2 linked regions of the Caenorhabditis elegans genome follow. The protein of the gene in region 2 interacts with the protein of the main gene of each other region in a pairwise test. Each region holds a gene or a part of one and is shown on either strand. Other genes may lie near its edges. The genes, in order: mig-15 and hst-2.

Region 1 (15,638 bases), 780 kb from region 2:
TTAGCTAAAGTTTTCCAAAAAATTAGTTTCTCGAAATAGTAAGCTGATAGCCATATTTTTTTGTTGTCAGCTTTCTAGAGAAGGAAATCAGCGTTAGTTTTCTGCAATTTACCTCAATTTGATTATTATTGTAAGTAGAATTAAATTAATAAAATTGAGAAATATATTTTGGGTGCGTTGCTAAATTCAGTGTTTAAATCAGTGAAATGCTGATACCAAGCCTTATAAAAACTTTTTATATTACACATCGTCATTACTTACCCAAAGACCATAAATCCGAACGTGAATCATAAGTAGCTTCAGGGCTTTCATCACATGCAATAACTTCGGGAGCCATCCAGTATGGTGTTCCAATAAATGTGTTTCTTCTTCCAACTGTCTTGTCAAGTTGTGCAGATACTCCGAAATCTACCAGCTTCACCTCAGCACTGTCCGTAAGAAGCACATTTTGACCTTTTATGTCACGATGGATAACTTTGCTTTGATGCAAGTGGTAAAGTCCCTATAAGAAATACATTTGAAAATGTCTGAGAATCGGTAAAGACAAACCCTCAAAATTTCTCTACAAATATATGCAATCCATTCTTCTTTCAAAGAGCCTCCCTTTGTGTTTTTTACAAGATCGGTGATAGAACCACTTCCACAAAACTCCATTACCAGCCATAATTGATCGTGTTTTCCGGTCGAAGAGGGCAGCTTTTTGATGAAAGCACCATAATAAGTGGCTACGTTCCGGTGGTGGGAGTGCTGCAAATCAATTTGATTCTTCCGTGTAAGACCTCATCGATGTGTTCTCCTTTTTTTGAAATTTCTTTTTCACACTATTTCAAAACTGTCTTCAAAATAGCTTTCGTTTTTAAGTTTTCATCAATTCATACAAATATAATTTATAAATGTATTTATCAGAAATTAGATATTTCTTTTTTTCTTTTTAACTGATTTAAAATTCTGGACAACTTAATAATTCGAAAATAGGTTTAATTCCATTTCTCATATTTGGGGAATTTTGAAAGGAATATTTTTGTTTAACCAAAACACATACCTTCTTTAGCATATTAATTTCTAACTTAATTTCATCTTCTTCATCTTCGTTGATATTCATAATTTTGATTGCAGCAAGTTGCGCTGTTTTAACGTGTCGACCCTTATACACTTGCCCGTAAGTTCCATTTCCAACAACCTCAATTAGCTCGAAGATTCCAGCCGGGTCCTGAAAAAAATCATTGTGATTTCCGTGTTGTTTGGTGTAGTTTCGCATTTTCTTTCCCCTACTCAGCTGTAAATATTTCTGAGAAGAGAGCAACATGATTTTTTAAAATTGTTACACCACACACACACACTCGAAGAAAGAAAGTGGGACTTCGTCTGTGTGTGTGTGAATGTTGCGAAATACACTTTTTCTTAGTTTTGAGACAAAAATTTAAAGCTGACAAAAATTGATTGTTTCATTCAACTTCAAAAGGTAGTTTTCTATAGAAACACCATTAATTTCACGGGCGATAACCCAGACTGAATAGAAAAATTAACATTTTTCAGTAAATTCATTGTGCGCATTCTACTTGATGTATGGGTGGTCACGAATACTCACCCTTAGAGAATTCAAATCAATCTCGTCGAGTCCTGATGACGACATGGTTTTGGGTGCTGTGAGCGGCTTGGAGCAAGCCGACACTTAAACCACACAATGACTCCTTGAATTTAACTTGAATCTGAAAAAAAAAACACTTATTGTAAATTACAAGAAACAGGAAGTATAACAAAACAGAAAAAAATTTTCAGATTATATCAAAAGTAACAAAAACAGAAATATATTGTTTTCATCTAAAGACTCAAAATAAAATATTGTTTCCAAGATTATTACGAAGCAACCATTCTGTTTCAGAAAAAAAAACACATGTTGTGATAAAGAAAATTAGATCGATAAGGAATGCATCATCAAAGACGTCGGAGAAAGACCAGTGGACGGCACAAGGAGGACGGACGCGTCCAGCATTGTTACACAGCCGGGAAATAGAGGAAAAAAATGAGAATGCACAAATTGTTTAAATGTGTTCAAAAAGTAGAAAAGTCTTAAGTGTTTTTTCTGCAAAAACAATATATTTTTCTTATAATGTTGGAAAGAATTATCAATTTTTAAGTTTCAGACAACCGTTGAATAGGATAACTCATATTCTGTTGCTGCAAAAAAAATTTCCTAAAAATGCTCGCAATTTTAAATTTTTCTGATAGCAATCAAGACGTGCAAATTTGAATTGACAAGCGGTCAAAAGACATCATCGGGTCAAGCAGACAAGGTTGTGAAAGAGAGTGAGGGATGATCGAAGGCCGCAAGAAATTCGCCTTGATTCCGAAAAGAAGGCCTCCGACGTCCGCCTTTCTCTCTCTCTCCATTTCATTCCCCCGCTCGTTTTCCCGAATAATGATGAAGGACGGACGAAGAATGAAGAAGACGCTGGTGGAGAAGAATGGAAACAGCGCCTGTCCATTCCCAAAGAAGACACACAAAAAGGCAACAGCAGCATCACATATAGCTGCCGACTGAGTGAGAATAGCGGGATGCCTCTGTTTGGTGATCTACATTTATTATATTGATTTGAGATGAAATGATGCTTATCTTCTAAATAGATATTAATGATGGTGAATAAATGAAGGGGGATCGAGTAAGGGGTAGATGTATCAATTTAACGAATATTCTCTCCAATGGCCGATTAACAATGATTTAGCGATGGTATTTGTCTCTACGACCACTAGATCCTAGTGACGCTCATGGCTAAAAAAAACAAGGTTATGGCACATTGAGGTATATTTCCTATTTAGACGTTGCAAAAAGAAGGAGAGGTTTTAAATTACAAACAAAAACTATTCTTGTGGAAACGTTTTATTTAGCCTACATAGTATCCATTTCGGGAACAATTTTTTCAGAAGAAAAAAAGGATTGTATCAAAAAACCATAAAATATTAATATATTGCCTGATTTTTTTAATTTACAACATGAATCTATTGCCAAAATTATTATTTATTGAAAATTTTGAATTGCTCACAACATGTTCTGATGTAGAATTCATATTTTGAAATATATGTTAATTTCAAAACACGTGTTTTCATTTAAAAGTTTTCCATGTCCTGCACCGAATGCTTTGCTTTGACAGCTTATAAGCTATATCTTTTTCTGAATATCTTTGTAGCTTATTAATTTAGAAATGGTAATTTACTATGCCTAAAAATGAAAAAAAAAACTCCACACGTTTTTATTTAATAATCAATTTCAAAAAATTAAGGGGAAATAATACACAAGTACCATTAATTTTTATAGCTTATGATACTGAATTAAAATATGAAGTAGCAAAATAATTACATGGTGTGTAAAAATGATCAAGAAAATACGACAAGTTTTGATTCGCATTTCGAAGTTCCCGCAACTTTTTTTATTTTCGACAAAAAACAACAATGTGAATATTGCCATTTTTGAATTAAAGAATTTTCAGAGACATTCTTCAAATGAAAAACAATGAATGCGAATTTTTTACAGTTACGTTTTAAAATAGACAATAATATAAAATTATTTTAGTATAACATTGAACTAAAAATACAATTTTACTAAAAAATCCGGTCTGAATCACTCTTATAAAAAAAAAGAAAACGTGAGTCGGTACATAACAATAGATCGGAAATCCCCTTTTCCCTTGTCCTCCTATTCTCATGAGCTTGACCTCATGTTGTTCTAGAAGTGTACTACAGCCGCTCTCAAAAAGTAGCCCAGAGGAAGGAGTCAAAATTATTCTTGCTCTTTTTTCCTTTTTACTTTGCCATTCTTGCTTAAGGAAGAGAACGAAAAGTGGAAAAGAGCTCAGAATACATTTTCTGATGAATCGGAGAAAAGGGAAAAGTCATAGATAGAGGAAGTTGAAAAGCTGTAGGACAAAAAATATGGAAGAATAGGGAGAAAAAAGTCGACGAGGAAGATAAGAAACAGAATGAAAAACGACCAGTGGCGCCAGAGTGTGTATGTATGTGTAGTGAAACAGCAATTAGTCAGCGTTCCCAAAGGTCTAGTGATGACACCCAGTGGCGATGCATTGGTTCTAAAACCTCTCCGATCCGCCTTATCTTGTTCTTTCATTTGACACGAAAAATAGGAGAAAAGAGCGAATTGAAAATAAAGAATAAAAGACTGGTCTACTTTTTATCAACACAACTTGATAACCATGACCTCCAACAACGCGCGTCTTGGAACAGAGATGGACTGGGGGTACACATGGTGATAGTGCCGATTTTATCACCGCATTAGTAGGGAATCAGATAAAACACTTCGAAAAAGAACAGAGCGGAGGATGGATGGTTTTCTGAATATTTTTCACCTTACAAAACGATAGTGAATCACAAAATGCAAATCAGTTTATTCATTCGTACTAAATGAAATCATATTCACTGTTTCATTTTTTCACTTTTTCTGTATCATTCCCATTTCTTATCAGCTGTTGTGAAGAACTTGTGGGAAGAAAGGGCGTAGGAGTTTCTTCAGTCCCTCAACACCTCAATCCGCATAACAAAAAGTTCAAAAAAATTGTGAAGACAGCTGACATCTTAAAGAAAAAATGAAGCTGAGCTATGATTTTACTTGAGCTTACAGGTTTTGGAGAGAATTCTCGGAGAAGAAGGGAACCTCAACGGGACAAAACATGAAGATTCAATGATTTGAAAATAACATCCTCTATTATAATAGATGTAAAATTTCTCAATGCTTGAATTGAAAAAAAATCTTTATAGTTCAAGACTCTTCTTTGAATTACAATTCAAAATACAATTTTCGATGTAATACCAATACTTAAACTTCCCAAGAAAACTATTCCTTACTAAAAAGTTCTCAACTCTATAAATTGATCAACCAAGGGCATACAAAAAACTCCTTCGGGACCAAAAAGATCAACACTTTGGCTCAAAGAGCCAAACAATGTGCCCACAAGCAGTACATTAGAAACAGCAGCTTTTCCTTCCTAAAAACATACACCCACTTTTTTTAGAAGTCCCATTCTTTCCTATTTGCTTCTCGTGCCAGAATAATATATCAAACAATTTGAAAGCCTGGAGGCGCACAAAAAAGGTTAAGTTTGAAATACTTGAACAGAAAAATTGGAATAAATTTGCTTGGGGCTAAACAGCTTTCAGTTTGGATTACTTATTGTTTTTCAAAACGACAAGTAATAATTTAAACGGAGAAATGTATTCAGTGAACAATTTATTCGCGGAATAGAAAAATTAAAGGATAACATGCAATGTGAATTCAAAATTACCATACCTCATGTTACATTACTCACTTTTAAAAATTGGTGTTTTTTTTTTAATATTGAAAAATAAATTTAAATGTAATAGAAGGTTGTTAAAATTTTGAGTAACCCATAAAAATGCAGATGCTCACAAAAAACGAGTAACTTTCAAGAAAAAGGCGATGCTAAGAACGAAATAGCACCCTGAGGAGCTGTTTGTGTGCACAAACTTTGAGATTCTTCTGTCCACTCTTGTCATATATCTCTTGTAAAATTGTTGGTATCACTCTAAACTTTTCTGAACAACAATTGCAAAAAAAGTAAAACGATATCTCTGTTGATATTGAATCAATTTGTTTGGGAAAAAGTGAAATTCAAGAAAAACCGGGAGCAAACTATTGGAGGAGCCCTCACCGGTGTGATTGAAAAGTTAAAGGAAAGGTAGAGAGACAGAGGGAATAAGGCGAGCAAACAATCGGCTAATATTGCAATCTTATGATCATTATTGATTTTAGTCAGAGACAAGTTTCCGCGCATATGATCCGGATATTTTATGCGGAAAAGAATTAAATGAACTTGTGAATAAAACGGAAAAGAATGATGAGGAAAAAAGGCAGATAAACAGTTTGAATTGTGAACTCTACTTTTTACTGCTCTGTGATTGTTCTCACCATGCAAAACCGAACGGTTCTCTTGTATTCAATTCAAAACCTATCGATTCTATTGAATAGGAAAAGGTCACCAGTATTCGTCACTACTTGCGGTACAAGCGACCGGTCCTAAAGAGAGAAAGGATGAGAGTGAATGGAAGAATGGGGATTGTGATTGTGTAGATGAATGTGTACCTGATAATTACATGTCACTATGAATGATGGAACGACCAACAAAAAAAACAAACACCGTACCTGCTCTTATAGTTAGTTCTTTGTTTTAAATAAACTTTGAAAATGGCCTTTGAAATTTGTAGGAAAGTTTGCCGACATTTAATTTTGTTCCACATATAACAGACTTCATTTTAAAAATACCTATACTCTTTTTTTTTATTGAAAATTTTACAATCTTATTTTTATAGTAAAGCTTGTTCTGATTTTTCAAGCAACCACAACAAATACTAGCTTTGTAAATTAAAATTTCGTACCATAATTCTGAATATAATTACTTTTTCAAAACATATACTCTGGTGAATATCCGCCGATAACCTAATATTTGCAAAATTTCTCAAACATTTTCCGTAGATCACATGTTCATTTCGATTGCTTGTGGGGATAAGCCTTGAGCAAATTGAATTTTTGATTGAACTTTAAAACAAATTTGAGCTTTCTCATTGAAAATATTTCGAAAAATCTAATAACAACTTTTGCTTAAAAAATTTTAAAATTACTTAAAACTTTGAATACCTTGTAGTTGTGATAACAAATATAAATTTTAATCTACAAAATTTACAAGGTTTTGTTAAGGTATTCAATGTGTGCACACCAAAAACTAATTTTTTTAAAAATCACTCTCAATTGAGTTTTGTTTTTGGGAACACAAAAATTACTGCTATTTAGTACTAAATCACTAAAGAGAATTTTTCTGGTTCGAAAAAAAATTCAACATTGAATAACTTCACAGAGCACAGAAGAATAAACGCCCTTCGTTTAAGAATTTACAAATTTACCCTTAAAATGTCTATTGGAAATGTAATATTCCCATCAAGTACGCGAGAGCGACCTTTAAAATAGCGGTATAGTGCACAACAGGAGCGTGAGAACGAAAATTGAACATGATGACGCAGAGCGAGAAACGCGAAAAAATCCATCCAACGAATGCATTACGTGAAAGGAGTGGCAGCAACAATGCGAAAGTACATCTCTTCAATAAATTATTTGTGCGTCCCTCCTGGTCTATGTCCTCACCGAATAACTCGAGGATGCTGGACAACAAAATAGAAGAAGTGCCAACGAGTAGCCAGCAAAAAATTGCAAAAAGAGCGGAAGAATTGAGAAAGGAGTTGAAAATTATTCAGGTCGAAGCAAAAAATTGTATTAAAAAGAATGCTGAAGTGGAAGAGTGTTTTTACCCATATTGTGTTCATGAAAATATAAAAGACATTTTTTATGATAAGACAGATTTTTGACTTATTGTGAGTAAGTAATGCAAAAGCCAAGCATAACATAGTTTTTGGCATTATGAAAACGTGACGATTGAACAACATTTAATTATTTTTTTTGAAACATGTCACACTTTTTAAACGCTTAAAACACTTTTTTGCAAAAATATCGGTGAATTGTTAAATTTAAATTGAATACTTTGCATATTAACAGCATCGAGAGATGTTGAAAACTATAACGTGGAAAATAAAAGCTTCCGTAGGTCCTCTTCATTCAGAATATTGGGTTACGGAGTCTGGTCCATCGGAAACTGATACATAGTCACATCCCACTTTTGGAGATCAGAGTTTTCTTTCTCTACAGATTTTGCAGTTATTATATACCACTGAACTTTGAAATAACTACAAAATTTCCTTAAAAGTCAACGCCCAAAAAAAGAAAAAGATTTTACGAAAATTAAAATAAAACACACAGCACGCGTTGCTGTCTTACTGTCTAAATGAGATAGATTATTAAAATAATGAGTGGTCGTTGTGATAGGTTAAAAGCAAATGTCACAAAATAATTACTTAGAGGAAATATATGATTTTCTGACGGTTGCATGACCATAAAATCGTACAAAATTGCCCGAACATTTTTGACATATTCAAATGAAAAAAGAAAAAGGATGTTGTTCTACCAGGTTTTTTTTTAGAATTTTATAAACTCTCACAGTAAGTAATTCATTGGTTTTGTTTTTTTTAAATTGCATCAGCAACACTTTTGTAAGCATAAATAATTTCACAAATATTCATAGATTTTTCACAGAGAAATGTAGATTAAAAAATAAAAATAAAAACATCAGATTTATTTGTACATTAGGCTTAGGAATTATTATTTCTGAGCTTGAAAATATAAAAGTATACAAGTTAGTATTCACATGTTACCAGAGGCTAAGCTATTGAAAACATTTTGGCACACTTTGTAGTGTACTTTTTTTTTAATAAAAAGACCTCACACGACGCATTTTTCATTAAAGCCTCCGTACTTAAAAAATATTTTGAAAGTGGACCTATTGAAATTGAAACTACACTTTGTATGTTAACAATAAAAATTTGTGTCTTGTTGCAAAAGAAGGCACAAAAAAGCTCACAAAGTGAACCGTAATGGGATAAACGGTAGAATTCACTAGAAAAAAACGGAGTGATTCCGGACGCTTGGCGAAAGAGAGTGTGCGGTCCGCGCGGAGTGTCCAGAAAGTGGTCCGCACACCCTGCCAAGAGATGAAGAGACTCAGGCACATGTAGCCTGGAAAAGAAGAAACAGAAGGAAACGGGAGGAGGAAGAGACGGAGAAGAAAGCAAGTAAGTGGCGAAGGAGGAGGTTTGTGTCCGTCAGGAGAAGAAGGAGGACGAGAAGACCACCCCGAATCGCGCGAACATGCGGGGAGAGCGAGGCTGACGGAAAGGACGGGACTCTTTTTCTCTCTTCCTCCCGTTTACCCTCTCAATCAGCTCAGGCTTCCGCTACACTATTTTGCTCCGCCAATTGTCTGTCGGACACAACCAAAATGTGCAGCAAGTGAGTCCGAGCTCTGCGACTCTTCCTTTGTCTGCACAATCAATGATTGACTGACCGCAGCAGAAGCAATAGAACATTGACGGGATAGCCACCGCTGCGCGGAGAAGGCAGCTATTGGATAGCTTCTTGCTCTCCGCACTTCAACCTTTCACTTTTATATCCTTGCATCCATTTAGAAAATATTGAAAATTTAACTGAACTAACATCTCAGTTCTAGATCCCTTACGCGTGATTTTAAACTTATTTGCGGCGGACTAATAAAAGTTTAGCTAAAATTTGTATATTACATGTTTTAATTGTGTTAATATTCTAAAACATATATTATATTATTTGAATAAAAATCACAACTAAAGCTTAGTCAATGTAAACCTTTCAGTAAGCGATATGATGGTTTTGAAAATATTTTCATATGTAAATTCACAACAAAGTAACTTGTCAGAGCGAAATAAACTGAATAACATTTCCTAATTTTTAAAACTAATTTACAAGTGAGGAAAAATGAAATCATAACATACTACATCTCCATTTAATGTTCTTAAACATATACATAATTCTGTGTTTCATCTCTACATAGACTATGAAAATTAAGAAAATTAAGAAATATGCAGCCGAGATCTACAGAGTACTGAAGTTAATCCCTTTCCCTGATGTATTATATAGTGTCATCACTTTTTTTCAGTGGTATAAGAATTATTGTAAAAGTATTGTAGAAGTTCAATAATTATTGTAGCTTCATTTTGAAAATAAGTGCAGGTTTCACAACATATAAAATGACATTCATTGAAATATTTTTAAATTGATTTTAAGTACTGTATGCTCGATTGTTTTTTTTTCGCAAAAAGGAAGATTATTGAACTAGGAAATTATTTAATCGAAAAACCTTGATAATCATCAGCCTCATCCAAATACGCTATTAAACCTGGTGCAGACACAAATACACAAAGGTGAAGACAATTAAGAAAGCCATCATCAAATTTGTCAAGAATGAATTGAGAGAAATAAAGTTCCAAGAAACAGAATGGAAAGATCTGTGAGAAAGGGCACGAGGTGAATCGGCGGCTTCTTTTATGAATCACAACGAAATCATTCTCCTTGTGTCACTGCACTCACACAACAGAACAGCAACAGCAGCGGCCCCAAAAACTTCTATCAACGTGCTTGTTGGTACCAGTTTTAGAGTTTTCCTTGAAATCTTTTTTTTTATATTTCAGAAGAATGCACTCATATATAAACAGCGGGAAATCAAAAAGTCTTGGAAATTTTAGTGTTTTACTGTAATTGATTTCTAAAAAAATACAAATAATTGAAATTAAAAAATACTATTAATTAATTGAAAATAGTTATTTGGAAGTTCAAAATTTAATACATTTTGATTTGCGGCCGGAAATTTGAAATTATTTTTCACAAACAAGCTGCACAAATTTTAGATTTCGAACAGTTTTTCGACTATCAAAACGATCACAAACTTTGAAAAAATATTTTTACAGCAAAACAACTAAACTATAAACGTCATGCCTATCTCATAGTATACCGTGATATTCTATATAGGAGCTTATTTCTTACAATGAAGCGGTCAGAAAAATGTTAATTCATAATAAAATATTTAGTACGGAGGTTCATAATTTTGCAAACAGATGCAAATGCCCGAATTTGAGTAAAACGGTTTCAAAACAATAATAAAGTACTTCTGTTTTACTTCAATATAATAGTAAACAAGGGGAAAAGTAGCCGAAATAAAATAGGTGTCAGGTTTCACAAGTGTACCGTGTGTTTGAGACCGCAAAACCGCTCTTAACCTCATCTCCTCACTCGGATGGTTTTCGGCTGATCATCCATCTTTGACAACATCCTTCCAAGGTTACATTCCAAGCCCATTCGGCACCTTGTGGCACTCACTCCTCATTCCTTTGTTAGCGCTGACTTGACCGGTTATAAATTTGAAACTCGCCAAGGAGGAAGGATAGAGAGACAGCCGGCGTGTGTCAGTGTCCGGTATCAAAAGATTTACAGCTTCTTTTACCATAGAACTGAATCAGAGTAAGATAGATAATGAGATTGAAACTGGAGGATGTTGGTAGGGTAATGAATCATTCCGCCTGGGACATATGACATTACCAACACATTATGCAAGTCTGGGAAATCTTTAAATCAAAAAAACTCAGGTTTGGAAGTTTCAAATTATTTTTTTTGAAGATAACAATAATCAAGTATTAATTTCAGCTTGCACGGTTTAAAGTGTGTCTTTCACTTAAAGAAGATAGTCTTCGTAGTGTGGGTTGTCGTTCAAACCACAGTTTTAATTTGCAGGTTGTAGAATTTCTCGGAGACTTGGAAGCAATAATGATAGAAGTAAAAATAAAAACTTTGTATTTTGTTTCAACTTCGGGTTGAGAGTATATATATTTTGGTGTGCAGATTTTAAAAATTTGCACATCTCGTAAATAAAGTCTCAATTTTTTAAAAACATAGATAATCAAAGCAAAAGTGTGTTGGATGATAATTTTCAAGTGTAATTTTAAAAAAAAACATCAAGAAACGATGAACGCACTAGGAATCTTGTATTGTGTTCACTGAAGATTCGAATCACACTGAATATGACTTTCATCAAATGACATACCCTTATTCGTTAGACTTTCTTGCACAAAAAAGGATTTACGTGGAGACAACTGGCTGTGATAAGAACAAAATGTCAGATAACTGCGGCTTAGGTAGTTTACTGACAAAGTTATTATTGGGAAAAAAACAAGTAAGGAAGTGATGCAGAAATGGATATTATAAATGGTTTTTATAAAAAAAATTTTGAATAGAATAACTTCATTGACACACGACAAAAAATAATATTTTTATTAAATTTTATTAATTTGGTTTTACTTTCTATAAAAATTGGAATAATCATGGTAGGCCTGACGCCATTTTCATTCAAAATCCTACATATTTGAGGTATGAGTCAAAGCTAATACAGTTTGTGAGAAAATGGAATAAATAAACTTATTGGATAGTGGGAACGGGTACTTTGCAAAATTCACAACGAGCATGGAGCATGAGCGAGCAATCAATTTTCAATTAAAATTTTTGCATGATGTAGAAAGTTCCTAACTAGGTGAACACTGAGAGCCGGACAAAAATGTTGTGCTAAAGTTACTCTAACTCTTTATTAATCGCTTAACAATTCTAGACTCATTGAGAATCTTATTCAGGATTAAATCTAATCCAAGTCCAGACGCTAGACCGGTTTCTGAGGTGTTACATCGGAAAGGGACCACTAGTCATTGAGGGGACCGACCTATTGGAAAAATCATAGCGTATGGACGTGTGTGTGGCACGGAATGACTTCATAAAATCTATACACCTCACTTTCTCTCTTTTCTTCTTTCCCTTCTTCTCTTTTTTCCCCCAATCAGCATCTGTCATCGTTGGCGTCAAAAAGCGTTTTCGCATAAATTCACGCAAAATGTGTATACATTCAATGTGCCGTCGCCTCCTTGGGGCTCATTTCTCTTTGTGATTCCTTCCTATTTACCATCAGAAGAGGAACACTTTTGTAATACAAAATAAAAACCAAAATGTGCATTGTGGGCAGGAATAGGTTATTGAAAAACCAAGTTAAAAGATCAGATATACAAGATGAAAAGTTTGATTCAGAAAGGTTAACCTGAATAGGTTTATGTATGCAATGGGAGTGTAAAACGAACGCACCCCTTGGATAAACAATAAACTCGTTAGACATTATACAGAAATTGTATAACGTAGCAGTGTATCATGTGCTCTTTCTCGAATCAAATGAATTATTCAAGATTTACTAAAAACGAACGCGCATGAAATGAGCGAGAAGGGTGTTGCTCTCGCTCTTTAGCGGCGAACAATAAGAATTTGTAATCAAAAATTCACGGCATGGGAAAAATAGGGCAAAGCTAAGCGGGAAAATAAACTTTTACTAACAAAAGTATAGCAGATTTTTTGTGCAGTTCTAAAATGGTAAAAAAAACTTTTAAACATGCATATTGTCAAAGAGCACTGATCAATTTTCAGAACCGTTGCTCCAACTGAAAATTTCAACTTAAACTTGAAGTGATTGCTGTGGTGGTTTTCTGTAACGTTCCCAGTGAACGTTAGTTTTTTAATATTCCATTTTGTATCCAAATTCAACTAAACTTATTAAGTGAACAGCGACATTTTAATGATAAATAACATTATTGGATTATCAGAAGAGTTAAATTTTTATGAGGTTCATGAATATAGGTACAGTATACATTGTTGCAAAGTGGATGTTGAGAACCTGCACAAAACATGTCTGAAACCAAGAAAATAAAAAAAGACCACCCAGTAAGACAAGATTGCAAAACAATTTCAAATTATTTTTGAAGAAAGAGGCGTCTGGGGGGTGGTAGGGCAAAAGCCAATTAGCAGAACGACATCAGGACGACATGAAAGCTGGACAAGCATGTAAAAGGAAGAGACGGAAAGAATGCTTGTGAGGAAGAAAAAGAGATATGTGTTGTTGTTGTAACTTGTAAGAATTGATGGCTGAATTCAATACGTCAAAAACTGAAACAATTTAATTCAGGTTGTATAAAAAGTTGAAAGTTTAGACCTTATCGGAACTCTCACAAAGAACCAAGACATCAACATGTTTACCCTCTTTTGAATAAAAACGCCATCTACAAATGGCAAAAGTGAGAAGATGTTGAGAGGTATAAGAAGGAAAGTGTTCGACTCGAGAGGGAACAATGTAAATACAATGTATGTAGTTATGGTAATAATACTAGTTGATCCGTCTCAGGTACACTCATTTTGTAGAAGAACAATAACAAACACGCAGGCATACACGGAGAACACCAATCTAGCAGTAATAAGTTAATCGGTAGTGGGAACCCGATGACCTTTGTCAGAGGTAGGCAGGCACCGTAATTACGTTTGTTTGCATTTTATTATAGCGTAGATCACTTGATTTATGAGCACCACTAACAATGTTTCAAAAACGTGATCCAGAGTTTTTTTTTGAAGCAGTTCAAAGCAGAAAGGTAGTATTGCTTATTGAAATTATCATCAAAAAATTTGTTTTCAAAAAATAGTTTTCAAAAGCATGATATGCCCATTATTCGCTTATCAGCATCTGAAGTATCTTTTTGAAATTTCAAGTACACATTTCTCCAATCATTGCAGTGATTGTAATGTTGATAATTGTTTTTTATTTGAACTGATTAGATTCGAATCGGTATACATCATCATTTTCAAATGTAACGAATTACTTTTTTTTCATTTAAGAGTAATCAAATAAACTGAAGAAGTGCAATGAAAGTTAGGCTTGATTTGCACGTTTCAAATAGTTAAAAAAAAAGAAGAGTCTCAAACACTGAAGCTCACCAGGCTTTTGCTTTTTATGAACTGCCCTAATCTCAAGTTATAAAACATGGAAAATGTATAATTAAACACAGAAAAAACTTCAGAACATGATATGAACAACAAATAGATGGAGTGACTGACGGATTAAAACAGACAAAAAACGAATGCAATTCAGAAACAGGAACGGTTAACAGGGGGTGCACAATGTTCTTTTGAGGACTTACAAAGAAGAATGACTGTATGTCTATCTTGCGCGCCCATTTGTGTGCTGCTCATGTTTGTGTTTCAGATTACTTCGACAATTTAATTTGGCCAGAGACCGTTAGAAACATAATGCTTGTGATTTTGTTGTGAATTTTAGCAGTTCCAATGTAATGCGGAATTATAACATAGATAACATTTAAATTTCTTGAAATCTTCCCTGTCTTCATTTTCACAATATGACAATGATGTTTATCAGATCTTTTTACAGAGAACTTGACGTCTACAAAATTCAGATAATTTTGGAATTCGTCACGAAAATTGCACAAACTTGCACATATAACTTATGTAAAAATCTACTCAAATGGCTAAACGGAAAGCTGTCTTCAGTAGTACATAATATTAAGGATGATTGTTTATCTTCACAGGTACAAAAATAAACCCGCTTTCCCAGAGCGGTTTGATGGTTCCTCACAGTGTTATCTCGAAGCACCAGAAAAATCTACTTGAACAAGCGTATTTTCTCAATATGTCATTGATTTCAGAAATATTTTATTCGGAAGTCGCGAACGAATGGACAGGAGCGGCTTCTGGGAAGTCGAGAAAAAGAATAAAGAATCGAGAGTCTCAATACTCTGGGAGATGCGAGAAGAAACACAGACTGAAGTCCAGGATGGATGTGGAAAAGTTATGGACAATAGTTTAGGCACCTTTCAGTTCGTGGTCAAGGTGTGAAGAGCATCAAGAGATGTTCAATTTGTGTGGTGCCCTGTGGTCAATGTCAAGGAACGGTATGACTGGTAGCCCACTTTTTTCTTTGGTCAGTGCACGTTCCATCTTTTTTAGTCATTGCAAATGTTTTATTTTTCTTTGATCAGTGCATGTGGCATCTTTTTTTTTGCTTTGTGCACGCTAATTTTTTTTTGGTCAGTGCAAATGTTTTTTGTTGGTCAGTGCACATGTTTTTTTTTGGACAGTGCACATTTATTTATTTTGTCAGTGCACATATTTTATTTTTCGTTGGTCAGTGCACGTTAATTTTTTTTGGTCAGTGCAAATGTTTTATTTTTCTTGGGTCAGTGCACGTGTTCTCTTTTTCTTTGGTCTGTGCATATGATATATTTTTCTTTTAAAATGTCACTTTGACGCCAGACAATCTGATTTTTGGAAAATTCCA
Region 2 (15,638 bases):
CAGGAGGTCCAGGAGAGCTTGGAGGACCAGGACGTGGAGGAAACCGCGGACCACCAGGACCACGTGGACCACCAGGAGAGGCTGGACCAGACGGAGAGGGAGGACGTCCAGGACAAGCCGGACAAACTCGCTCAGCTCCATCTCCACCAGGACAACCAGGACAACCAGGAGAACCAGGATCGCCAGGAGAGCCAGGACCAGATGGACGTGCTGGACATCCAGGACGTAACGGACCACCAGGACCACCAGGAGACAATGGAGGTCAAGGAGAGCCAGGAAAGGACGGAGAAGATGGAGAGAACGGAGCTGCTGGAGCCGCTGGACCAAAGGGATCTTGCGACCACTGCCCACCACCACGCACTGCCCCAGGATATTAATTCACTTCTCTCTAATTTTAGTGAATCTCATTCTAATAAAAAATTGCCTCAATTACTCATCTTACATCATTCGCATAATGAAATAATGGCTCTATATTGAGTATATAACTCCCACGAGTAGTTCGCGTAAAGATTCGCAAATGGTTCGCATATACAAAAAAGTGCCTCTGAAAGATTATTTTCAGTTAAAAATAGAGCATAAATATATAGATTTTTATCCTGAAAAATAACTGAACTACTAACAAGAGAGGCTATCACAAAATTCAATGTGAACAGATTTTAACACAGAGCAAATAGGACTCGATTTGAGACAGAAATGTATTTCTACTCTTGATAACTTAACATAATGTTAGTAGAAACCATTGTTTGGTAGGCCTCAAATGGCAAATTATATATGTAGCTAAAACAGTCAGCACCAGAAGCACATTTACTGACGAGTTCATGACGAACAAAGTTTCAAAAAATTCTCGTTAATTTTTTGTGGTACATTTTATAAAGAAACGGGTTACAAAACGGAAACGATAGTATGGTTTTTCACAGCGTTTTTTTTCTATATATACTTTTTTTTCTATATATATATACATGTTGTTACAAACAAGCGAACATCGTTATACATCAATTGTTTAATTTTGTGAAAATTTTAACAATATATTTATTCTCACACGGACCATTCTCAAACCTGAAAATGTTAAATATAGATTTTCAAAATTGCTGCACGATGTTGTTTAGACGTCATTTTCCTTGGCACTTAAAATGATAAAGTAAGAATGATAATGATTAACCAGTAACAAGATATGCAGCTTTCATACATGTTTCTCATTCTCTATCAGAGTTATGAATTGAATATTTAGTATTTTTCTTAATTTCGCGCGTTTCAGTGATTGTTTTCCTAAATGATCTTGCCCAAGTATCAATTTTCTATATATTTTCTCTCAGCCAAAAAATGAAATTCCATGATACTCAGAAAAATGATACGCAGTAATTGTGAGATGGCGACACAAACCTGCCACTAAAGAGAACGCGTCGCGAAGAGACAAAGGTTGCAAAGTGATTGCAGAAAAAAATCCACAAGTTTAAGAAGGCGTGGCAAAACTTCCTTGTTCCGTTAGGTAGTAAGTATAAAAGAACGGCTTGGAGATATTGAATAACACCGAATAGTGCAATGGAAGACAAAGCAAAGTTTGCGTACGCAGCCGACCTTAAAAAGTTTGCTTTCTTTGGAGTTGCGGTCTCAACCGTAGCTACATTGATTGCAATCATTGCTATTCCACTTTTCTGTGTTCATATGCAATCCGTTACATCTGGCCTTTCTGAAGAGCTTCTCTTCTGCAAGTCTAAGAATGTGTATATTAAGTGAGTTTTTTTCTATACATTTCTGTAATAAATTGACTGTTGAAATTTACAGGGGAGAAATCGAACAACTTTCTGTTACTCGTGAAGCTGGAAGACAGAAACGTCAAACTCCACAAACTTGCTGTTCATGCGGTATTGGAGAAACTGGACCAGCTGGAGTTCCAGGACAAGAAGGAGCCCCTGGAAATGACGGAAAAGCTGGACAACCAGGAGCACCAGGAGCTGACGCTGATGAGCAAGGTTTCCATTACAAGGCTCCAGAGTTTTGCTTCGACTGCCCAGCTGGACCACCAGGAGCCGTTGGAGGACCAGGACCAAAGGGACCACCAGGACCACCAGGAGGTCCAGGAGAGCTTGGAGGACCAGGACGTGGAGGAAACCGCGGACCACCAGGACCACGTGGGCCACCAGGAGAGGCCGGACCAGACGGAGAAGGAGGACGTCCAGGACAAGCCGGACAAACTCGCTCAGCTCCATCTCCACCAGGACAACCAGGACAACCAGGAGAACCAGGATCGCCAGGAGAGCCAGGACCAGATGGACGTGCTGGACATCCAGGACGTAACGGACCACCAGGACCACCAGGAGACAATGGAGGTCAAGGAGAGCCAGGAAAGGACGGAGAAGATGGAGAGAACGGAGCTGCTGGAGCCGCTGGACCAAAGGGATCTTGCGATCACTGCCCACCTCCACGCACTGCCCCAGGATATTAATAGGTTTTTCATAGTGTTATTAGACGTTTTAATAAAAAGTTTTTATATTTATTTGGCTTCTCATTAAAACATATTTACAATACACAACGATCGATGAAATCATTGAATACCCAATAACGTTGTGTTACTGATCAGCTCAAACGTCTCGAGCTCTCATTATCTGTCCACCGGGCAGCCAGTACTTGTAGTAGACATATAATTCAAAGACAGAAAGAAGCACTGAAACAATCACAAATGTTAACTTTGCGTGAACGTTTCTTACCAATTATATAAGAACAAATTGCAAGCATGCTGTCGCCACTTGCATTCCAATATCCATAATCCTTGTTTCCGCGAGACATTCGTTGTTCTTCAAACCAACTGTAATTTAATATAACAATATATTGTGTTAATTGGATGTTTCCACTTACACAGGAACTTGCGTCGTAGCAAAAATGGCCGCAACCAACATCAAAGGTGTCATTGTAGCAGTGAAGACCAAATGGACAAAAGCGGACCACCGGATATGAAGTGCTTTTACTGCAAAAAATCCTGTCCATGTTGCAATCTATAAAATGATTTTAATCGAAATTTCTACTTCGTTGTCTAGAACATACCAAATTGTTTAACGGAATCCAAATATTGATTCCATTTTCACAGTTTATTCTGGTGTAAAATGTTGAATAGTAGAGACCTAATGTAAAACACAAAACTCCGCCAACCTGAAACTTGAAGTGAACCTTTAAAGAATAATGCAGCATAAGTCCTTACAAATGCTAAAAGGGCGAAAATGAAGTTTATATAAACGCTATAGCAGAAAAACGTCCAAATTCCTTCTGGAACGCTCAACAGATTCCGTTCTTGAACAATCTAAAACATCAAATCACAGTATTATGAAAAAAAGGGGTATACCTAAATGTTCGTATTAGATTTTTAACAAAATTGAAAAATTCAAAATTTTAGACTAACAAAAATTTCGTCCAAAAAGTTTCTCTGTTAGGCAGATTCAAGTTAATATGTATGTATAATTTGATAACACATTAAAACGTCAACGTTTTCCGTACGAAATTATTAAAAAGCGATATTTAACAAATGTAGCTATGAATTTTGACCTTGAACTTACTGTCATTTCTAATATATTTAACCAAAAAATAAAGTAAATTTGGCAATTTTCCGAAACCTTAGTTCATTTTTTTTTGTTTGAATTTTTCGATGTGTTAAAAAAACTAGTTCACCTTTGAAGATCATTATTATAATTCACTCAATTTTCCCGTCATTATTATAATTGAAAAAGTGAAATATTTTAATTGTGGTGCAACTTTCATTCCACTTTTTTTTCATTTCATTTTCATCAGTTTTAATTACTCATTTCCTTACTCACCCTATCTACTGCCAGCGAGAATGCTGTAAATCTATTGTTGAATCTCTTCCATACTGACTTGATTGGCACTAAAATACAACAAAAGCAGTGACGTATTGGTTTACAAACTGCGGAACATCGACTCATGGGAAGAATGGAGTAAAAATATTGAAGAAATCGATGGAGGACGAGACAAAAATGCTCTTATCATTGTCGTAAATGTAGTCTCTCGACACACAACATAATTCTGTTCATGCTCTCGTTTATTTTATTTTTTTCTTGTCTAGACGTTCTGTATTACATTTTTCGCAAGTTATGACATGTACACAAACTTATTTTTATTCAAATCATACACAACATTTATTATACGTAAAAACTAACCAGATGGCATAGTGAATTGCTGCAATAGATCGCTCGACCCGTTTGGTTTTGTTTTGGGATTGTTGGAAAAATTGAAGAAAAATTGAAGATGAAGATGAAAAAGAAGCACACAACGCAATGATGAGAGATGGGGAAAAGCACCAGAAAAAAAAAGTACAAGCGTAGTTTTTTCAGAGAAGAAATAATTACATATGGGAATAAAACAATTAATAAAATCTGATATAGATGCAAGTTACACGAAAAGCTAAGCGAGTTTAAGATTTTTAATTGAGGAAAGTGAATAGAGGAAGGAATTATGATGGTTTAATTTTCTCAAAGTGGTATTGGAGCGGAAGCTTGACAAGATCGTCTGCTTTTGAGATTCCATTTGTGGCTTTTCTGAAATGTCATTCATTGAACTACTGATTTGATTAGTTTTTTGGTGTTTAAAAAATACGGCATAAAAATAGAAATGCAGTAGATTTGCCACAGACGTATTTTCTGTCAAGATCCATAAAGTGCAAAATGCAAAAAAAAACATTATGCGCATGAACGCGAATCAACGGTGAATCAATTTGGCCTCGAACAGAACTTTTGTCTAGGTGAATCCCGATAAAATTCAAGTTATTAAGTACAAAACTTTTTGGAGTATACGAGATCTAATAAAATTAATAAACTAGTTAAGAAACAAGATCAAAAACCAGTAAAGATGCGTATAACTTTTTTTCTGAGTAGTTTGTCATAGTCTATGTATCAACTAAAATAAGAATTGCTAATGAAACACGACATTCTCTTTTGCTCTCGCGACGTACTTGATTGAACGCCTTTTGCTCTTTTCTCTTTTTTCGTGCATACTTATTTTGGTGAAATAAATTAAGCTAATAAATGAGCCACTGGTCGGGCGAATGTAATGAGGGATCAGAAAAGGGAAAACCGAAATTAAAATGACATGAAAAATTAAATAAAGAAGAGAAGTTCACATATTCACGCATTTGAATTGTCAATATTTTGAATGAAAACTCACTTGAAAACCGCGTCGAATAAATTGTTGATAAAATCATAAAATTCTCGTTCCATTTTATAAACTTCATCACGACGGATCATCGAAAGAGTCTGATCGTTTGGTGGGATCTTTTTCTTTGTGTATCGTAAGTGGGCTCTGTTGGCTGTAAGGATATTTTTACATTAAAAATCAAATGAAAGCACCTAAATATAATAGTTGACAGTCACAAAACTAATAGGAATTTAAATTGGAAAAGCTGACCAAAATTTTCAAGTATGTACAGGTTCCTGATGAAAAATGCATCATCATACACTCATTCTCTTTTCTCATCGAAGGAAATTTATGTTTTTATTTTACACAAATCTGATCACATTAGTTATCGAATTTCCAAGTGGGTTCATTTTTTGTTTATTTTTCCCGATGTAAAAACTTAAAAAAAAAATTTCTGCAACGCATAATTGGTCCTTCAATCATACGTTTATTATAATAATATATGCTCGCTGACGTGGTACGATTATTTCTTAGTATACAATTCGGAGGACTTTTTTGTTCGAAAAATCTGCTATACATCTCAGAGAAAACGTTCAAAGTTATTTTTTCTTTGACTGATGGTATATTATTTGATTAAAAGAAAAAACACGCTTACCATCAAGACTATCAAAATGTCCTAGAGCACCTTTGAAAAAGTCGGGGACCGTTACTTCCAGAAGTGCTATCATATCACGCATTCTTGATGTTGTCCCAACTAACAAATACTTTTCCAGCACATTTTGCTTTGCAACTCTTAATGCTTCGGGATTCCCGACTTCTCTGAAAATAATACATATTTATCCGAAAACTTAAGATACCAACTTACGTGCAAAAATGATAGTGTCCGCAAAAATACGGAATCTGGATCCACATTTGTTTCATGTCGCAGTCTTTACCACCTCGAGAATAGCATTCGTCGAATGTCTGAAAATGAAACATTTCACAGGTTTCTGTAAAATTGAGAATATCTCTGGTAGTAAATTACTATTTTTATGGTTTTGAACCTTAATATTCTACCGATAAAAAACTGCATTTATTTCAAAATTAGCAGTGATTCAATTACGCTCAAATAGTGTTTCAAAGTAATACAAGAGCGAAACAATTATTTTAGAACTGTACTTATTTTTCAAGCAAAGTTGATTCTAAAAAAATCATATCACAATATTCTCCGTGTTTAAATTCTTCAATTTTGTTATATTTTTTAAACTTAAAGCACTAAAAAAATAAATTCTCACCTCATTGTTTCCTGCACGACTTCTCTTCAAGCCAATTCTGTAGTTGTCACCGTATCGAAGGAAATAGTAATGGGAAAGTAGACGTTCTAATGGCTCACGAATAATGTTGATGTATATGGGATTGGCAATACCGAATCTGAAATTATGAACTCATATTTTCAGATTATGATTTTCAAATGTTTTTTGAAAATAAGACAACTTATGAATGAATATAAGTGAATATTGACCGTTGAAAATCGATAAATGCAACGTGTCCATGATAGAATGCCGGCAGCCGCTCCGTCCATGTTGTAATATTATTTACAAAGGTGTATTGATCAGGAAGGCTCATTACCTAAAAAATCGTTAAAAATGTGGAACACTAAATAATATATTTTAGTACCTGTCGATTTTTTGTCATATTCACGTGTAGTACACTAAATCCATTTTCTTTGTATAAATCATACGCAATTGCATTTGTGAACGTTGTTGAGCCAGTTTTGGGTATCTGCAAAGGAGTATGAATTAATTATAATTTTGTCCACAAGAAATGCAAACTCACTCGATTATAAATTACAATTTTACTAGAAGTTGGCCATACATTTGCTTTTGGCTTTGAATTCAACTTTAGTAACAATAAAATAAGTATAAATACAGAAATCCCAGCAAAATATAGAACTTTTCGCTTTTTCCACAGCATTTTAGATGAAACAGTTCAAAAAATGGCTGGTGCACGGTTTGTGCGTCTTCCTATCGCTTGCTGACGTAGACACCGATGTCTGCGTCTCTAATGATATGTGTGTTCTTTTTGCTGACGCACTTGTCGATAGTTATCTAATGTATCGACAGGCAGATAGTAGTAAAATGTAAAATGATTTATTTTTCACGATTAATGTTGAAGAAAAATTATAATTCACAGAAAAAAATAAATTTGAATTAAGAACTTTGTCACAGGGTGCTCGATTGAAAAATCACTTCTGGCAGATTTGGAAAGAGGAGATTGACATGGAAAGATGAGTGAAAATGAGTAAAACATGAAGAAAACGTGTATAATTAAAATGAACGGGTATCTGCAAGATGCAGTTGGTGTTGCTGCTCCTTATTGGTTTTCGAGAAACTTGAGATACTGAAATTAAATTAATATTGTTGTATACAAAACTGATTTTCGAAGGTGTCAAAAAATTTTTTTTTGAGTATTATATGGTACCTTTTTTTTTCGGAAGTTCATGATTAAAAATATTACCTGCATGAAGAGAAGTGCATTTACTTTAAAAATGTCCAAGTCTTTGGCATAATTTCCAGGTGTCGAGGTTTGTGGGATATTAAAGACTAAAAACGTTCATTATTTTCAGTGTAAAATTGTAAAAATTATGCACCTGAAATATTCTCCAAAACCAATATTCCTTTGATGAAACCTGTAGCTCTTCGCAATTTGTTGAGACGCACCGGTGAACCATCAAATTCCGAGACGAATTTTATGAAAAGTTCTGCAAATTTTGATAGTTTCAAGGAACCTCACAGAAAGCAGTTTCTATACCGTTGAAAAATTTCAAATGTTTTGACATCCTCTTCAAATCACGTTTGATTTTCGACGTGCCACATGGTTCTTTTACTGGGATTTCTGGCTCAAGCATTTCTCCTGTGCTCTTAACAAGTTCTTCGAACTTATTCTTTGCGTGCTCACGAATTTCTTCTATATTGCCATCGGATCTATCGGAAAGAACTGAAAAATGCATTACATTATAAGCTTAAAATCTCAACTCTAGTTAATTTTTATTCAATAGCCGCCGTTTATAAATAATAAGGCTCACATCGTATTGTTGGCTTATTTTATGCTGTCATGTCTTTTTAATAAATTTGTTATGTTATCAGTGGGTACACGGTCCACTCTTATGGAAAAAAAATCTAATGGTTTCTACCTGCTAAAACGCCAATGAATTTTTCTGACGTTTTCAACATATGCTATCTTTTGAAAACTATTCAAGACTTGCCTTCAATTGAAGCCAGGAAGAAGCCAATTTTTAGGTACCGATGAAACTTGTCCAGTTGACAAGGAACGGGATTCGGCGGTGTCAATCGTACGGGTTCTATCAAATTCTGGTCTTCATCTTCTTCTTCTTCATCATCCACCTCATGAATATCAATAATTTCTTCTAGATCTTGTTCCAATTGGACACCTTGTTCTACTGGTGGGCTTGGTCCTGCAGCGTGTTCCATGTTTCTATCAAGTGGAATACTTCTGACAGAATACCCTCGATACCGTATCATCTCCATGTGACGGTCTGAAATTTTCACCGTTAGATTAAGAAACATGTATTGAAGTAAGCGCGAGAGTTGTATGTCAAAGTTTACGTATAGATTGACAAAATTATACTTTTAATAAAGTTGAAAGCTCTTTGTTAGGCAACAAAGGCAACAACAGCCCTAGCGCTCACCAGCTTGCTCTCTGTTCGTTGCTCCTGCCGACGACGTCGTGGCAGCCATTTTGGCTTATATCCTCCTGAAAAGAAAAATAGCGTGTGTGGAGAGTAAACGAATACGAAAGCAATTGGCGGATCGATACGTACTGGTGTGCTCTCACGTATGTCGAAGTGAGGGAATGAATTAGAAGACTGATAAGGTGTGGGGAAGGTGGGAACACAGAGGAGAGAGTAACAGTGGTACCTGGGCTTTCAAGGTGTCAATTAACATCGATAATGTGTTATTTATCAACTTCATTATCGAAAATAAATTGTTAATAGCGCGAAAAACTCTAGTCATTTCACCTCAACAAAGAAAATCTACCGTAGCATGGCACCGAGCCGTCGAGACAATAGTTTTCATGACTGTTCATGGAGTTTTGAAAATAAAATACACAACATTGCCGGAGAAACTAAAACATTGCAGCTATGCAAGTAGAACGTAGCTAATGAAGAAGACTCACATCATCTTCACCTTATTACGGACAGGAGGAACACATTATGGTCTCAAATGATTGTTCAAGATAGTCATAAATCATATTCAATTGAAGTCAACCTAGTATTGATCGAATATTGAATAAAAATCAATTTTTGACAGGTTTTTCGAAATATCCAGGGGACCATTTTTTACGTATAAACACGATAACAACAATTCTAACTGACAAACGTAAAAGATAATTAAAGAAATGGCATAACCGTATTTTACAACTGTTTTTTCGATTTAAACGCATATTAATTTTAGATAAGATAAAATTGGTTTTGCTTTTAAAAATGGTCCTTTTTTAGATTTGATTATGGGTTGATGCCAATTGCCAAAAGTGCCCATTGTTGAATTTTTTCACAATCAATTGTATAAATTAATGACGATAAGCCTAAATGACGCTATTTCTTCTAAGTTTTCTTTAAACATTTGTCAAATTATTAAACTGTCGCCCTTCCCTGATTTGAATTACAATTTGTAAATTCCCTAAAAACAGCAGATTCCAAACTTCATCCAATGTCATGAACTAGTTAATAGTTTCCTTTCATAACTGTCCAATAATATTTAATAGATTGAAATTTTCATACTTTTAAATAGACATTTTAACATTTTTTAATATGTCGATATAAATCATTTGAAACATTTTCGAATGTTCGTAGTACTGCAAATCGTGTATAACTGTTCAGTATAGTAGTACATATTTGTTCATTTCATTGACCTCTTCTTACTCTTTGTTTATTTTGCATCCGCAGTCTATTATTCTTTTCGGGCACTGATCTCAAAATGTCAAGTTTATTGGAATCACGAGAAGGAAAAGGCAAAAATGGTAGTTAAAACAGAGATGGAACACCGTATCAAAGGAAAAAACTGGGCTGGGACAAAAAAATGTGGCAGAAGTGCGCTAAGTCGCGAGGGTGAATATGATGTAGCGCTATGGTGTACAACAAAAGAATTATTACTCAAATTTGCTCTTAGTCGGTCAGTGGGACAAAACGCTTTGTGACAAGTATTGGGGGACACACTCAATGATTACTAACTCGTTTACCCAACACCGCAACATTGAATTGAACGAGCTGCATGACCTTTATGAAATAAGGTACATGGGAAAGAGAAATGTGGGTGAACTCAAAAACAGTATGTCAATTGAATGAAAGCTGCATAAAGTGAATGTGCTGTCCGATCGCGCGGCGGTATAGGGCTGGGTAAACTCTGAGCCGTGAAACGAGAGGGGAATGTAAAGTGAGGATGAACCAGAAGGCTGGTGGTGAAAGGCGATCGGGAGGGCATAACACGGTAAAAACAGCTGCGTGACCCATAACACATGTGAACCAGAGAGAACGCCGCAGACCATCTGCTTGAAGCCCGAAAGTCTGCTGTTCGAAATAGAGAGAGGGGAAAATGAGGGAGAGACGCGGATAAGGATGATGCTTGGCGGAAATGTGCTTCGCGCATTTCGAGAGACAACAAATCGAGAAAATGCTACATATATACACGACTAAGGAACGGATGGTGCGTCAACGACATACAGAGAAAAGCAATCACAGCTAAGGGAATCTTCTCAAAATATCAATTTTCCTCCGAGATGTAGTCGAAATCAACACAATGCACGTCCCGGATGCAGAAATTCTTTCTGGAAATAAATATATTGAAGTGTGACGATATGATGGGAAAGCTAAAAATAATTGGATTTTTCAAAACTTGCACTTTGAGTTTTCTTATTTGTTGTTTGAAAAATCAAGAATGATGAAATTTCAAAGGTCTGAGAGGATGATTTCTTTACTTACATATTAAGTAAAATTTTGAAACTCTGTTTTGGGTTTACATAAATTAAAATTAAAGAGCTTCGAAAATTCAACTTTGAGAATAGGTGATATGATATCTCAAAGCTTGAAATGTTTTTGAGTAGTGATATAAAATAGTTTCAAACATGGACATTTTTGTTAAGACAAATTAAAACGCTCAGTTTATAAAACAGATAATTTAATACCTGCAAGTTGGGCATTGCGCACTTCCTCGATGGTACTCATATCGGTAGACGTTATCTATGTTCTGCCTTCCAATGAAAATTTGAGCTAGGCAACTTCTGCACCTGAAATAACACAACTAATTATATATTCAACTTGTCTTCGGTGCGGGAATCGCTTTTATTGCATGTTGAGATAATGGACACAGAGACAGCTGCATTTGTGAAAAGCGTGGTATCTTTCTTGAGGTCCGTACCCAGCTGTCATCTCTTAATGAAACCCCCTTGCTCCCCTATTTGGACCATAATTAGTCGGTCAGTATGGTAATTGACCTCAAGATCATGACTGGACACACACGTTCATTTCGACTCTGTTCTTGATTGATAGGAAAATATTTTACCATAAAGGACGACAAATGCAGTTCTCGCACGGTGGAGTGAATCGGGCGCCAATGTCGTGAAAGAAAACTCGTTGCTCCTGGCCATCGCAAGATCTTTCAATTTTCACCATATTTTCTTCAGTTCCACATGCAAAACATGGATCCTTTTCACTTGCTTTCACACGGTGTGTTACACGGGTGTTGCTTGCTATTCGTTGAATAAAATCCTAAAAAACTTTGATTCAAATTATCAGACCCGGTTGAAAAATCTGACCTCTTTCAGCTCCTCCATGAAAGTCAAGGGGACGTTTATATGAGGGGGAACAAAAATTGGTACTTCGAGTATCTCATTCAGTTGACGATAATAGTCTTGACGTAGGCTGAAAAAGATTTGTTTAAAAATATTGAACAAGTTAACTACATGTAATTTGTGAAAACTAAGAAAAAATGGAAAGTGTACTGTTCTGGTAGTACAAGGTTACTGTACAGTTCGTTTTCGGTTTTATAAATCTTTTGCTGTTTAAAACTTTTCAAAACTATTTTAAAAGTATTTTCAGGAAACTTATTTTAATGTTTCTTCAAAAGTTGATTTTGTTCTAACTAGGGAACCGTCACAAGGTGCCACTCGCTTTTTGGACGAAACATGTTTCATGTGAAAGCCCATGTTGAGAAACGGTAAAATGTCAATTTTTAGCTGCAAAATTTCAGAATTGAGCTCAGGGTGAGAATTAAAAGTTGCTCACATCAGTACTAACTGCGCACTCCCGCCGCAATATTAGCGTATCGGTGAGGGTTGTGGTAATTATTTTATGTGAAATATATAAATTTTTGTCCATTGAAACGTTTTTGCTACTTTGAACAAAGTTTAGAAGCTTTTTGAAAAAATTGTTTTTTTCAAAAGTGTTTTAAACTTTTACAGTTGATAGACAAGTGTTAAAAACCTAAAAATAACAACTTGCTTAATCCGGGTTTAGATTTTTTAACAGAAAAAGTTAACTGTTTACTTGCTTTTTTTGCGAATTGTACCTTAACTTTGAGCTATGATATCTCTGTGATAAGCCACGGTTTTGTTTAGCGATCAACTACAAAGTTGTAGCAAATTTTCTGTTTAACACTTTGTTAATTAGTTAATTTTAGGTATTAGTACCCCACGCAGAAAAAAGGGCATTCACGTTCATGGAATATACGATTAAAAGTTGTACAGTCTCACAGGTATGTTAGTCTGTGAAAATCACTGATAGCAAAAACTAATCAATTACTAAAATGTTAAACAGAAAATTTGCTACAACTTCGTAGTTGATCGCTAAACAAGACCGTAGCTCATCACAGAGATATCATAGCTCAAAGTTAAGGTACAATTCGCAAAAAAAGCAAGTAAACAGGTAACTTTTTCTGTTAAAAAATCTAAACCCGAATTCATCAAGTTGTTATTTTTAGGTTTTTAACACTTGTCTATCAACTGTAAAAATTTAAAACACTTTTGAAAAAAGTTTGAAAAAAAAATTTTTTTTTGGATTATTTTTTCACATTTCAGAATTTTCAAAAAAAAAATTTTTCAAAAAGCTTCTAAACTTTGTTCAAAGTAGCAAAAACGTTTCAATGGACAAAAAATTATATATTTCACATAAAATAACCACCACAACCCTCACCGATACGCTAATATTGCGGCGGGAGTGCGCAGTTAGTACTGATGTAAGCAACTTTTAATTCTCACCCTGAGCTCAATTCTGAAATTTTGCAGCTAAAAATTGACATTTTACCGTTTCTCAACATGGGCTTTCACATGAAACATGTTTCGTCCAAAAAGCGAGTGGCACCTTGTGACGGTTCCCTAGTAAGGCTAATATTTCTCTGGGATCTGTTTTTTTTTTTGAAATTTGACATTTTTTCTGAAACTTTTCTAGAATAGATCAATTGTATCTGATTTAAAAAATCCATATAAACGCTTACGTGATAGTGAACGGTGTTATATAGGCAGGGCGGAAGCTGACTTTCACAAAAATTGATCGTATCCGCTCTTCTTCATCCTGATTCGGAAGCTTAACAATGTTAGTCGTATTTTTCTTTCTGATATATTTCTAGTTATCACAAACCATTGGCATCCTTGTGTTGTCCACCTGAAGCCGGACATCAGCCAACTTGACAGCCATAAATCTCCAATTTGATGTGTAGACAAGGAAATTACGAGTGACAAAGAGGAAGCTGCGCTCTGAAAATATTGGAAATAACTAATGTTTTTAACTTATCAATCGAATAACGCACGGGACAATTTTATCCGAAAAGTTTCTGGATCAGCAATCACCGTTTGTGCTTCATTCACGCAGTCCGGGTTATCTATGTAGTATTGGTAGATAGGCCATTTTTTGTAGTCTTTGATCCGAATGCAATAATAACCGTTTGCTGTAATTTAAAATGACAATTGACCGCGTTTTCAGGAAAACTTCATTACCAATCAAAGCGACAAAAAGCACTGTGAACCACATCCAAGGATAATCCAGAACTGATGGAAATCGACGAGTGTCAGCTGCAGTCATCAAGATGTTTCCATGCACGAAGTAGGCAGCAATGACTGAAATTGATTTTTCTAAACAATAAATGCAGAAACGTGATGAAAATTTAAAAAAAAAACTCTATTTGTCTTTCAAAATATTTATTTCAAGTCTTATTCAAACTCGAATATTAACAATACTAAATTATTTTGTGCGCATATGTTTTAATCAGTTCATACATATGTAGAAAGTAAAATAGATCTGACGAATCGATTCAGTTTCAAATTAATAAGAGGGTACTTAAACGCATCTGAGAAATCCTAAAATTTGGAATTATATATTTTGAAAACTCGTTGAAGGAGGAGTAACGGCCTTGGCTATTTTGAACTTATAGGCTCAAATAGTGCTTAAATGAACGAATTAGGTAATGAGACTCATCAAAAATGTTTCAAAAAGCTTTATGGCGGTTCAAAATTTGGAAAAATTATGAATTTTGCTTACTTTGCTGTGCCATTTTGAAAGTTTATCACATTATTTGGTTGATTAAGATTTTTTTCAAGCCGATAGGTTTTTTTTCTTAGGCCGATAGGTATCAGGTATAAAAAATAACCGAAATTTTTGAATGTACCTTAATTACCGGAATAAAATGAGATTACCAATATTTTTACATTAAAAAATTCGTTCATTTGAGCACATTTTGGATCTCTACGTTTAAAGTTGTCCGAACCGTTAGCCCTCCTTCAAGCTATTTCATGAGTTACTAGATCCAATTGTATTCGTATTGAATTTGTAGTCGAAGCTTTCATTACTAAACAATGTTTGTCTTTTGAAATGCATTACTGAAAAAATCGGCGAGCCGTCATTTGAGGTTCAATCATTTGTCCGAAATTGTTATTTTATTTTGTAGGATTCTGTTGTCCTTTTCACTTTTGAAAAAATTCCAACACTCACCACAGGGATAGAAGGCAACAAATGCGTGAAAGAATGCCACCCGTTTTGCAGCATACTCCACAAAGTCGTGCTGTCTTGAATTATATAGAATTGTAAACAAGTCAAAAAGTGTGAGCCCGAGTCCGTCGAGCAGTTCCTCCGGTGGGAATACCAATGCAAAGTGGGCCGCTGTTAAGATAGCTATGTGACTGACCACGTGAAGATATGTTAGCTGAGCTACAAAGATTAATTTTCTTTATAATTAATGAACAATTCATAAATAATTTTAAAAAAACTCACTAGTAAATTCACACGTAATGGCTGTAAAAACTCCGAGTACGAAGATGAAAAACCATGTACCTCGTTTTATTGAGGTCATCCTGAAAAATGAAGCACATTAAAAGAAAGAACAGAACGAAAAAAAAACTAAATATAAGCTTTAAGCATGAAAGAAATCAATAATAATTGAGATTCCACGTAATGTATTTGAAAATCTTCATCTAAAGCGACGTTCTCTTCTCCTTCCATTCTGTCCGCAAAAGTGCGT

What was found.
Region 1: the proteins of hst-2 (region 2) and mig-15 interact in a two-hybrid assay, tested with the Caenorhabditis elegans proteins (one large-scale study listed by BioGRID).

The regions. Positions count from the first base shown.
Region 1 is NC_003284.9:10,426,942-10,442,579, forward strand, and holds the start of mig-15 (Serine/threonine-protein kinase mig-15), read right to left. Parts: upstream 1,634-15,638; coding exon 1,589-1,633; intron 1,211-1,588; coding exon 1,043-1,210; intron 748-1,042; coding exon 550-747; intron 503-549; coding exon 262-502; intron 1-261. UniProt on the Caenorhabditis elegans protein: Involved in cell migration and signal transduction. Important in several developmental processes including epidermal development, Q neuroblast migrations and muscle arm targeting.
Region 2 is NC_003284.9:11,200,000-11,215,637, forward strand, and holds hst-2 (Heparan sulfate 2-O-sulfotransferase hst-2), read right to left. Parts: upstream 7,157-15,638; 5' UTR 7,090-7,156; coding exon 6,952-7,089; intron 6,898-6,951; coding exon 6,793-6,897; intron 6,745-6,792; coding exon 6,638-6,744; intron 6,547-6,637; coding exon 6,411-6,546; intron 6,100-6,410; coding exon 6,002-6,099; intron 5,956-6,001; coding exon 5,792-5,955; intron 5,309-5,791; coding exon 5,167-5,308; intron 4,542-5,166; coding exon 4,457-4,541; 3' UTR 4,104-4,456; downstream 1-4,103. Other genes in the region: col-178 (Nematode cuticle collagen N-terminal domain-containing protein), read left to right, coding at 1-377; col-179 (Nematode cuticle collagen N-terminal domain-containing protein), read left to right, coding at 1,540-1,730, 1,783-2,443; C34F6.11 (MARVEL domain-containing protein), read right to left, coding at 2,580-2,662, 2,706-2,803, 2,854-2,990, 3,040-3,144, 3,194-3,292, 3,804-3,929; C34F6.5 (NR LBD domain-containing protein), read right to left, coding at 7,489-7,515, 7,633-7,718, 7,766-7,876, 7,927-8,112, 8,381-8,671, 8,825-8,873; C34F6.7 (uncharacterized protein), read right to left, coding at 10,896-10,959, 11,317-11,418, 11,694-11,899, 11,947-12,052, 13,623-13,711, 13,766-13,881, 13,935-14,072, 14,122-14,241 and 2 more. UniProt on the Caenorhabditis elegans protein: Catalyzes the transfer of sulfate to the C2-position of selected hexuronic acid residues within the maturing heparan sulfate (HS).